Linked DNA regions of Ovis aries. The protein of the gene in region 1 interacts with the protein of each later gene in a biochemical or structural test. Links are inferred from orthologs where the notes say so. Each region holds a gene or a part of one and is shown in the gene's direction. Other genes may lie near its edges. The genes, in order: FLNA, ASB2 and ITGB1.

Region 1 (3,645 bases):
AGAACACCTGGTGCACGTGAAGAAGAATGGGCAGCATGTGGCAAGCAGCCCCATTCCAGTGGTGATCAGCCAATCAGAGATCGGGGATGCCAGCCGTGTGCGGGTCTCGGGCCAGGGCCTCCATGAAGGCCACACCTTTGAGCCAGCAGAGTTTATCATTGATACACGCGATGCAGGTAGGCGGTAGGGACCTGGGAGCGGGGGTCAGACTGCCATACTTGGCCCCCTGGCTCAGGGATGTCTCGCCCACAGGCTATGGGGGGCTCAGCCTGTCCATCGAGGGTCCCAGCAAAGTAGACATCAACACAGAGGACCTGGAGGATGGCACATGCAGGGTCACCTACTGCCCCACGGAGCCTGGCAACTATATCATCAACATCAAGTTTGCTGACCAGCACGTGCCTGGTGGGTACAGCACCCATGTACCTCCCCCACTGCTGGGTGACTCTCCATGCCACACTCCAGGGGCCCCCAGCAGAGGGTAACCTGTCTGGGGTGTGGGTTGTGCCTTCTTCCTGCAGGCAGCCCCTTCTCCGTGAAGGTGACAGGCGAGGGGCGCGTAAAAGAGAGCATCACGCGCAGGCGACGGGCCCCATCGGTGGCTAATGTTGGTAGTCACTGTGACCTCAGCCTCAAGATCCCAGGTGGGAGCTGTGGCCGCCTGGGCGGGTCCCGGGGAGGCCTAAGCACTAGCTCTGGGGTGCCCCCGGACAGAGAGGCGTGGCCTGGGTCTCTTGCTCAACTGGCTATTCCCCCACCTGCAGAAATTAGCATCCAGGACATGACAGCGCAGGTGACTAGCCCGTCAGGCAAGAGCCATGAGGCCGAGATCGTGGAAGGGGAGAACCATACTTACTGCATCCGCTTTGTGCCTGCTGAGATGGGCATGCACACAGTCAGCGTCAAGTACAAGGGCCAGCACGTGCCCGGGAGCCCTTTCCAGTTCACTGTGGGGCCCCTGGGGGAAGGGGGAGCCCACAAGGTCCGTGCCGGGGGCCCTGGCCTGGAAAGGGCTGAAGCTGGAGTGCCAGGTAGGCCTGCTTCCTTTGGGGCTCTGTCTGCTCCCGGCTGGGGGTGCAGTGGGAGGGAGGAAGTCTCCAGCAGCCCATGCTGGGGGTGGGGAGCACAGCCCTCCATGAGGACACATTCTGCCTTCCTGCAGCCGAGTTTAGCATTTGGACCCGGGAAGCTGGTGCGGGGGGCCTGGCCATTGCTGTCGAGGGCCCCAGCAAGGCCGAGATCTCCTTCGAGGACCGCAAGGATGGCTCCTGTGGCGTGGCTTATGTGGTCCAGGAGCCAGGTACTGCGGTCTGGCTGGGGCCGGCAGGCTGCCCCTTGGGGCTGGGTGCCCGTCCAGGTCTATACAGAGATCTCCACCTTCTCCCCCTCTCAACACCCTGAGGCCCCAGGGCCTCTTGGGCTGTCGGGGGGGAGGCATGCATGGCCATCTTGTTCTCGCTCCCCATCCAGGTGACTATGAGGTGTCAGTCAAGTTCAACGAGGAGCACATCCCCGATAGCCCTTTCGTGGTACCTGTGGCTTCTCCGTCTGGTGACGCCCGCCGCCTTACTGTTTCTAGTCTTCAGGTGAGGCACTGAGAGAAACCGCCCGCCTGGGGCTCCTGTGCCCGGCCAGACCAGAGTTCCTGTGTCCAGGGACCCAGCCAGCCCAGCTCAGGGCGCCGGGCTGCTTCTGCTCTGGCCGGGAACAGCCCATGCCTGGGTCGGCAGGACGCACCCCTGACGGCCGCGTGGAGTTTTTCTCGTGTCTCAGGTCTAAAGGCTTTGAACAGAAGCCTGTGCCCCTTGAGCACCAGGGCTGAGGTTTAAAGAGGGACAGCCACCTGCCAGGGCTGCTGAGTGCTGCTTGTGGGCCGGGGGGCGCCCTGCTTCCCGCCTACCCGCTGTGTGCCTGGAGTGCGTGGGGCTAGGGGTTTGGGGTGTGTGCCTGGAGCTTGCTGCCCCTCGAGAAGCGCTGGCTCTCCCTCTTTAAACCCACTTGGACGCCAGATGGGTAAGTGCCTCCCCCTGGGCCTCCTGCTTCTGGGGCCCAGCCTCCCCTCACGCCCCCCCCCCACCCCCGCCAGCCTCCGCTATCCTAACCATGTCTGCTGTGCTTCCAGGAGTCAGGGCTAAAGGTCAACCAGCCAGCCTCTTTTGCAGTCAGCCTGAATGGGGCCAAGGGGGCAATCGATGCCAAGGTGCACAGCCCCTCAGGAGCCCTGGAGGAGTGCTATGTCACCGAGATCGACCAAGGTGAGGCCCTGCCTGGCCACCCAGCCATCCACCCGGGCACTGCTGGGAGCAGTGGGCCTCCCCAGGCCGGCCCTGCTGGCTGGAAGCAGGCTGAGAGTGTAAAGCAAGACACATAATCTGCAAGCAGCCGAGACAGGGCCTGGGCCCCCCGCCCCCTACTTGGGACCCAAGCCCTTGGGGACTGGGCTCAGCAGCCATGCTGTTAGAAAGGACAAAGCCCTCTGGAGGCATGATCCTGCCATCTCTTACAAGAGAGACCCCAAGTCTAGCAGTTGGTCCTGCCAGGGCCTGGAACTCACAGACAGGCTTGGGGGTGGGAGGAGCTGCTCAATTTGACTCGTCCATGGCTAAGTCCTGCCCCTTGCTGGCTGTATGACCTCGAGCAAGTTCCTGCCTATCTCTGGGCCCCAGTTAGCATGTGGTGGATATGACATTCAGGGTAGCCTTTCTAAGGAGGCATTGAAGCAGGTGTCTTGCTTACAAAAGACTTCAGTCCAAATGCTGCAGCATCTAAAGTGAGCTTGGGCATCTGTCAGTAGCTTGGGCATCTAAAGCTTCATCCCTCGGGCTTCAGGATTTCTGTACAGTAGGGTGAAGGTGCCCAGCACAGTTCCCAGAAGAAGCTAACTGGGCCCCAAGACCTGCTAGACTCATATTGGTGGGCACATGCCACTTGCTCAGTTTTAGAGGAGGGACCCCAGGCCCACCACCTACTTCTCTGTTCCTCAGATAAGTATGCTGTGCGCTTTATCCCACGGGAGAATGGCATCTACCTGATTGATGTCAAATTCAACGGCACCCACATCCCGGGGAGCCCCTTCAAGATCCGAGTTGGGGAGCCTGGGCATGGAGGGGACCCAGGCCTGGTGTCTGCTTATGGAGCTGGCTTGGAAGGCGGCATCACAGGTAGGTCAGCATGAGTGGCTTCTGGTGTGTGAACACAATGACTAGGGTTCCCTCCTCCAAGCTCTTGGTGACAACAGGTGGCGTGCGGAGGTGACAAGACTCTGTTGGGGTGGGGGGTGGGGCAACGGGCCAGGCCAGCTGTACCTACCTTCCCGTGCCCCCAGGGAGCCCAGCTGAGTTTATCGTGAACACCAGCAATGCGGGCGCTGGTGCCCTCTCAGTCACCATCGACGGGCCTTCCAAGGTGAAGATGGATTGCCATGAGTGCCCTGAGGGCTACCGCGTCACCTACACCCCCATGGCACCTGGCAGCTACCTCATCTCCATCAAGTACGGCGGCCCCTACCACATTGCGGGCAGCCCCTTCAAGGCCAGAGTCACAGGTGAGCCTGGTGCCAGACGGCTGCTACACAACCCATTGCTGGGCACTCCTGCCACCTCTTGGCTGTCCACTGCTCTGCCCTGCAGGTCACCGCCTCGTCAG
Region 2 (3,693 bases), on another chromosome or scaffold:
TTGCCAACATCCGTTGGATCATCAAGAAAGCAAGAGAGTTCCCGAAAAACATCTACTGCTGCTTTATTGACTACACCAAAGCCTTTGACTGTGTTAATCACAACAAACTGGAAAATTCTTCAAGAGACAGGAATACCAGACTACCTGAACTGCCTCCTGAGAAATCTGTATGGAGATCAAGAAGCAACAGTTAGAACTGGACATGGAACAACAGACTGGTTCCAAATAGGGAAAGGAGTACATCAAGGTTGTATATTGTCACCCTGCTTATTTAACTTATATGCAGTTTATATCATGCGAAATCCCAGGCTGGATGAAGCACAAGCTGGAATCAAGATTGCCGGGAGAAATATCAATAACCTCAGATATATAGATGACACCACCCTTATGGCAGAAAGTGAAGATGAACTAAAGAGCCTCTTGATGAAAGTGAAAGAGGAGAGTGAAAAAGTTGGCTTAAAGCTCAACATTGAGAAAACTAAGATCATGGCATCCAGTCCCATCACTTCATGGCAAATAGATGGAGAAACAATGTAAACAGTGAGAGATTTTATTTTTGGGGGCTCCAAAATCACTGCAAGTGGTAACTGTAGCCATGAAATTAAAAGACAATTGCTCCTTGGAGGAAAAGCTAGACAAAATATTAAAAGGCAGAGACATTACTTTGCCAACAAAGGTCCGTCTAGTCAAGGCTATGGTTTTCCAGTAGTCATGTATGGATATGAGAGTTGGACTATAAAGAAATCTGAGTGCCAAAGAATTGATGCTTTTGAACTGTGGTATTGGAGAAGACTCTTGAGAAGTCCCTTGGACTGCAAGGAGATCAAACCAGTTCATCCTAAAGGAGATCAGTCCTGGGTGTTCATTGGAAGGACTGATGCTGAAGCTGAAACTCCTATACTTTGGCCACCTGATGCCAAGGACTAACTCATTGGGAAAGACCCTGATGGTGGGAAAGATTGAGGGCAGGAGGAGAAGGGGACAACAGAGGATGAGATGGTTGGCTGATATCACTGACTGGATGGACTTGAGTTTGAGCAAGCTCTGGGACAGGGAAGCCTGGCGTGCTGCAGTCCATGGGGTCACAAGGAGACGGACACAGCTGAGTGACTGAACTGACTGACTGACTTTCATTTAATGCTGTGTTGTTGATATCAGAGGCTCCAAAGCCAGCCAGGATGCCAGCCTTGGAGGCCTTGTGTCCTCTGCCTGCCAGCAGCCTTTTGCCTTCCCACAAGCTCAGCCTTTGCTCTGCTGAGAAAGGGGCTGTGCTTTCCAGGGCAGGCTCTGTCCTGAGATCAGAGGGCAGTGGAAGTGTCAGAAATGCCCTGATGGGGCGGCTGGAGAGGCTACACTGTGGCGCCCTGGCCTCTCCACCCTCCCCACGTTCCCTCTGCATTCCCGTCTCCCCTGGGCGGTCTCTTTGGCTTGGCACTGCTGCTTCCCCTGCTTGGACTGCCCTGCCTCTGTCCCCGACCTGGCAACTTCCTACCCACCCATCGAGACCTTTCAGATGCACCATCTGGTATGGAAGGCTTTCCCCAAAGCTCCTGAGTGGATACCCCTGTACCTCTGTCCCAAGCACAGGGCCAAGTGCAGTGAAGGGGTCAGCATGTGTGTGTTGAATGAATGAATGGATGGAGTTCTTTGATTCATCAAATGCCTACCCTGTTCCCGGAGCTGAAATTAATTACCCCATTACTAGATGCATCACGGGGTAATCTTACCCCCTTCTCTCCACCCCCCCACCCCTTAGCTGAGAAAGCTCCACTTAATGAAGTATCCCTGGGGGCCTCCTGGAAGAGGCGGCCTGGTAGGATTCTGGGACCTGCTCAGTCCCTGCCTGTTGATCCTGACTTCTCTGCACCTCCTAGAACCCAGGGCTGAACTGGACGCGTGGGGTCACTTAGGAGGTCGTATTTGCTGAGGCTATGAGGAAGGGCAGGGTCTGGGCTGACACGTAGAGGAGGGAGCCCAGGACAAGCTCCAGTGCCAGGCGTGATTCTTGCTAAGCCCTCACCTGTGAAATGGGTTTGGTACCTGCCCTCCTTGGGCTTCCCTGGTGGCTCAGTGGTAAAGAATCCACCTGCCAATGCAGGAGACGTGCGCTCAATCCCTGGGTCAGGACGATCCCCTGGAGAAGGAAATGGCCTCCCACTCCAGTATTATTCTTACTTGGGAAATCCCATGGACAGAGGAACCTGGTGGGCTACCGTCCATGGGATCACAAAAGAGTTGAACACGACTTAGCAACTAAACAACAACATCAAACCTGCCCTCCTTCTTCCTTGGGCTGTGCAGATGAATGAAGTATGGCACCTTTTCAGTTGGCAGGGACCGTGAGCATGGGGGAATCAGGGCATCTCCTCTCTTAGCCAGCCACACGGGTCAGGTGCTTCCCACAAGCCAGGGGTCAGAGATGCCAACCCTCTGCCAGGTGCAAGCGACCAATCAGCATCTCTCTTTCTGTCTTTTCCAGAACCTCCAAGACCCCTGGCTCATCTTTGCCGGCTGCGAGTTCGAAAGGCCATCGGGAAATACCGCATCAAACTCCTGGACACGTTGCCGCTTCCAGGCAGGCTGATCAGATACCTGAAATACGAGAACACCCAGTAACCAGAGCACGCAGGGGCGGAGCAGCTCCTCAGACGGTTTCGCTGAGTCTCAGGACAGCCGTGTCTCCAAATCCAGGGGGCCCGGGGACAGATGTGGCTGGGAGCTGCCGGGCTCTCAGAGGTCTCTGGGCCAGAGCTTTGCCCAGAGCAGAGGACAGATGTATCGAGCAGGAGAAGAACTGGGTTGGCTTTCACTTGGATGAGGAAATCCCAGACCGGCTCTGCCATTGGGAATGGCAGAAAGCTCCATTCCTGGGGCCGAGAGGCGGGACCAGGGCAGAACTTGGGGTGGTCAGGGGAAGGCAAGGGGGCTGGCAGCGAAGCCCTGACCCCACCTCCAGGCTGTGGTTGGAGAGCTTTCTTTCTGGGGTGATTCTGTCTTTGCTGGGCCACCTCGCTGCAGAGCTGCCCCGTGCCCCTCCCCCTGTGCTCTGTGAAACTCTCCACTTGACTCAGTTCTCTCCCCAAAGCTGTGGCCCAGGGGAGCAGGGTGGGAGACCTCGGGCCCGGAGGGCTTCCTTAGGTACAATAAATGTTGCACAGATGACAGCCTGCCCAGTGAAGTCTCTCACCAGCCCCCTCCAGGGCCTTGAGGTCCTCAGTCCAGCTCCTGGTGGGAGTGAGGGTGGGACCGGGGGCTGGGACAGGGCACGTGGAGCCCTGATCACATCACTTTGGTTTGGACTTCTGAAAGGCCCCAGAGCATGTGTCCTTCATTCACCAGAAGAGACCTGATGGCCAGAGGAGAGGGGGCAGCTGGCTGCCCTGTGATCGAAGCTGGCAACATTGCTTTCTCTCTCCTGGTTCCGTTGCCATAGAAACCAGAGCTTCATCACAAACAGGGTCTCAGAGCCTACAAGTCTCCTGACACCTGGCCTTGTCTTACGCACACATTCCCTGGCACTGTCTTCACGTCTTAACTCACCCATTTGGCAACAAAGGCTGAGATACGAGGGGAAAGCCATCTAAGTACTGGCTCCTGTGAGCAGGTGCCAGAGGGAGGCTGTCGTCTCTCCTCTCAAAGGCCCCACGCTTGAGAGGCAGGAAGCCAGCCCTGTGCCCTCCGCCACATCCTCCT
Region 3 (4,090 bases), on another chromosome or scaffold:
CTACTAGGATACTCTGTTTAGCATGGTGAAACTGACCAACGTTTGAAACGCTCATAAATTTTATAGTTAGCTGTTCTTCGATGAATATTTATCTGAAATCACGAATGGAGCCATACTCCTGACCAATCACTGCTTTTCTTAGAGAATATATTTCTTTAATTTCTCATTTCCTCAAAGCTCATAACTTCTGCAGATAAATTGCTACTCACACTTTAGTGCAGTTGGATGTTCTGGTGTGGTCCCAGGGGAGCAAAAGGACCCATTTATTCATTTATCCAGTATTAGCTGAGCCCCTATTGTGTGACCTGGAACAGTGTTTGACACTGAGATTAAAAAGATGATTATTACACTGCCTTTGGTCTAATTTAGTTTAATGTTGTGCAAATGTGAATCTTATAATGTAGCAAATCACACAAGGAAGAAAGTTCTGGGGAATGTAGTACAAATCAAGCATGGATAAACTACACTTTAGAATGGTAATCCATGCTGAGACCAGACATAGATTTTGAGCAGTTTTGAACAACAGTATTAATAGTACATTTAAATTCAAGAATGTTGAGGTCTGCTGGCAGCTGCACCATTGGGTTGTTAACATAGATATATTAATTAAAAAAAAATTTAAGTATAGTTGATTTACAATGTTACGCTAGTGTCCAGTGTACAGAAAAGTTTGTTATATATATCACTGAAAAGAAACTGAAAAAGAATATATACATGGAAAAGAATCTGAAAAAGAATTTATTTGAGATTCTTTTCTATTATGGGTTATTACAGGTTACTGAATATAGTTCCCTGTGCTCTACAGTAGGTCCTTGTTTGTGTTTTATTTAGAGTAGTGTGTGTATGCTCATCCCAAACTCCTAATTTATCCTCCCTCCCCTTAACCATGGGATTGTTTTCCTATGTCTGTGAGACTATTTCTGTTTTGTAAAGAAGTTCATCTATATCCTTTTTTAGATTCCCCAAATAAGGAAACATCATTTAGTCTCTTAAATTTGCTCATCCATTAAGTGGGAAAAATCATTCTTGTTTCTTTAGAGGTTTCCAGAGATTACCTAACCAAAGATTTAATTTTGCTGGCGAGCAATGGGTAACATTTCCATAGATGGGGTTGTCTTTTTTTCTTCCTCAAGATTGGTCGTCAAATGAGCATCACAGCTTCTAATCTTCCCCAAATGAAACACTGCTTCTCAGTTTCACAAATCTCATCATTCGAGTTCTGTTCCCAACAGGGTGCTGCAGCTCACCACGTGGCAATGGACATTTTCTGCTAACAGGATGGCAGCCTGCCAGCAGCGCATTCTGAGTAACCGGGTTTCAGTATGATGCCGGCCGGCAGAGGTTTCGATGCTCTTATCAAAATGTGCCCAGCCATGCTTCTTTTAGCTGTCTCTTCTCCAGCCCCCCTATCCACCTACTGAAAAAAGTGAGGTAGGACAGAAACGGTATCAAGGATGAACTTTTCCTTCTCCTCCCTGTTCCCCATAAATGGACCTCCAGATGAACCTAACAAAAGCTGCTCCTCAACTCACCAGCTTCTCTCTACAACTTTCTTCATTTTTCCTGGCACCCGTCTCCTCCGTAAGTCTTCCCCTCTCTCAAAGACGTAAATCAAGCAAATCCTCCCACCAGAAAAATATCGGCTTTAGCTACTTCCCTTCCAAAGGGAAACGTTTTTGGCCCCACGAAACCTTAACAAGGTGAGTGACTAAGTGTCCCGGATCTGTCTGAGCCGGCTCCTGGGAGGCAGGGCTTCCAGGGTTCAACCCCGGGCAGTCCTCCGGCCGGACAGACACGGGGCTTTGAAGAAGCAGCGCCTAAGGCAGGCCGAGAAGGATATTAAGGTGAGCAGGGCCAGGCAAAATCCTCCCTCTCTCCCTCGGCTGCAAAGAAAGGAGGCGCGGCCGAGGTTGCGGCGGAGCCCGCGGCCCAGCAGGGCCGCTCCTTTGTCCCGTGGCCCCCGCCCCTCGCACGGCCCGCGCCGCAGTCCCCCTGCCCCTCCCCCTCCGTCCCCTCCCCCTCCCCGCCCTGTCCCCCTCCCCCTCCCACCGCGGGCGCGGCTGACGCGGCCCGAGAGGAATGCGCTTCCGGAGGGCGAGAGCCGCGGCGGCGGCCTGCGGAGCGGGATCGCAGCGCCAGGGAGGCGGTGCCCCGGGGGTCGTTTCCTGCCGGGAGGCGGCCCCGCGCCGCCGAGTCTCCTCCTCCCGCCCGCGAGGAGGAGGAGCCGCCGCCGCCGCCGCCGCGCCCGAGCCCGGGAGGCCACGCCAGCTCGGGACAGGCCGAGCGGGAACCGCGGAGCACAGGCCGAGCCGACCGCGCGGGCCGGACGCCGCGGGAGAAGGTGGGCCCGGGAGGGCGGGCGGCGGGCTCGGTGCGCGGCCGGGCTCTCATGGAGGAGCGGACGTGGGGGCCGCGGCCTCCGGGTGGATTCCAAGCCGTCAGGCGGGGGAGGAAGTCGGGCCGCGGCCGCCCCTGGACCTTCCCGGCAGGGGCGCTGTCCTCGCGGGGCCGCGGTCGCGGAGGCCCGGGAGTCGGACCAGCCACTCGGACGCTGGGCTGGGCGCGGACGGGCCTCCGCGGACCTGCGTCCGGCAGCGGCCTCGGCTGCCGGGTCTCCACGCCGGGACCACTCACCCCGGCTCCAGCCCCGCGTCCCTGGCGTCGCCGCGCCGCTGGGCACCGGGGAGCCGGGTGGGCGCGTCCTGTGGGCCCTTCTCCTAATGCTGGGTGTGGGCGCCGCGGCCGTGTCCAGGGCTCCTGCCCAGCCTGTGCCTGATTCGTGCCGTTCCCGATGCTTCAGAACAAGTTGTATTTTTAAGAATGGTAGTATTTCATGCCAGAGCAATTTTTGTTTCATCAGTTTTGTGCTTTTGCATGAAAACCTAGCGCTAGTCTGTATGATCATTACTAGTAAATTACACTCTTTAAGGCTCCATTTCTTCCATCTGTAAAATGGGAACAGTACCTACCTATACTAATAATAAAACTAGGAATTATTATGAGGACAGTGAGGGCTATGCCTACCTCTATGCACTTTACCTTTATTTTGTCCTTTAATCCTGGAACTGATCCAAAGAGGTAGGTGTTGTATTTAATCCCTGTTTTACAAATGAAACTGAGGCACAGGGAGCATAAGTGGTCACCCAGTTGTGATGAGGACAACCCATGTGGTCCAGCAACCCGTGTTTGAACCACAGGTAACCTTGTATAGGTACAGTGCAGTGGTGAGAAAATGTAAGATAGAAGACACTTAGCGCAATGAATATTAACTCCTTTTCTTTCCTTCTTGATACAGTAGAAGGACTTTAAAAAAAACCTCATGTAATTGGTGATATCAGTAAGGTTTCTTTGAATCTGCGTTCCACATAAATATTAGCCGGGTAGAATTATTGTTATTTTTTATTGTTGTTTTGATGGTACAATAATAACAAATGCTAACTGAATTTCGATTAGGAATTTTTCTTAAACTGAGTCCAGACTTTGCAATACGTTGTGTGTTAAACACTTAAGAAGTGGTGAAGGAACTTGACTTGCAAGTTACCTATTCTGGATCTGTGGACATCAAGGCTCACAGGAGTCAGGGGTGGCTTAAGAGCCCTACAGAGATGTTCACATTTGAAAATAATTTTAGTTCACTGATTAATAAATGAGGGATTGAAGATGATTAGCTGATAAATAGAAAACACATGAAAGAAATCCATGTTTTAGTTAATAGGCATTTGAGGAGAAAGCGATTATACCCACCCTAGAATGCAGTATAAAATGGAAGATGTTATTAGAATGCTAGTTAAAAAGATGGGATGTGGTTAATACTTTGCTTCTGTAAATAGCAAACTCCAGATTGAGTCATCAGTGTTGATTTCACAGACTTAAAATTTAAAGTTTTTGTAATGTTGATTCTTTTTAAAAGAATGTTAAATTCTGTATTGTTTTCTAATCCCCTCGCTATTCTGTGTGTGGAAAGTATAGGATCAGTAATATTAAATAAATCATTGGATTTAGGTGGCTTTCTCCTCAGCTTTCTGGTCAGGATATTTAAAAGCTGCCCCAAATTAGCATCATTGAATGGACATGCCCTATACTGGGGTGG

The links.
Region 2: the proteins of FLNA (region 1) and ASB2 form a complex in vitro, tested with the Homo sapiens proteins (3 studies listed by BioGRID, with this or other methods). The link is inferred for Ovis aries from reciprocal best matches to the Homo sapiens genes FLNA and ASB2.
Region 3: the proteins of FLNA (region 1) and ITGB1 form a complex in vitro, tested with the Homo sapiens proteins (3 studies listed by BioGRID and IntAct). The link is inferred for Ovis aries from reciprocal best matches to the Homo sapiens genes FLNA and ITGB1.

Annotation. Positions count from the first base shown.
Region 1 is NC_056080.1:80,098,323-80,101,967, forward strand, and holds part of FLNA (filamin-A), read left to right. Parts: coding exon 1-176; intron 177-252; coding exon 253-405; intron 406-521; coding exon 522-644; intron 645-764; coding exon 765-1,031; intron 1,032-1,162; coding exon 1,163-1,300; intron 1,301-1,470; coding exon 1,471-1,586; intron 1,587-2,122; coding exon 2,123-2,255; intron 2,256-2,984; coding exon 2,985-3,161; intron 3,162-3,325; coding exon 3,326-3,544; intron 3,545-3,629; coding exon 3,630-3,645. UniProt on the Homo sapiens protein: Promotes orthogonal branching of actin filaments and links actin filaments to membrane glycoproteins. Anchors various transmembrane proteins to the actin cytoskeleton and serves as a scaffold for a wide range of cytoplasmic signaling proteins.
Region 2 is NC_056071.1:56,316,339-56,320,031, reverse strand, and holds the end of ASB2 (ankyrin repeat and SOCS box protein 2), read left to right. Parts: intron 1-2,479; coding exon 2,480-2,616; 3' UTR 2,617-3,162; downstream 3,163-3,693. UniProt on the Homo sapiens protein: Substrate-recognition component of a SCF-like ECS (Elongin-Cullin-SOCS-box protein) E3 ubiquitin-protein ligase complex which mediates the ubiquitination and subsequent proteasomal degradation of target proteins.
Region 3 is NC_056066.1:19,294,020-19,298,109, forward strand, and holds the start of ITGB1 (integrin beta-1), read left to right. Parts: upstream 1-1,192; 5' UTR 1,193-1,488; coding exon 1,489-1,581; exon of another isoform or gene 1,582-1,700; intron 1,701-1,790; exon of another isoform or gene 1,791-1,844; intron 1,845-2,247; exon of another isoform or gene 2,248-2,341; intron 2,342-4,090.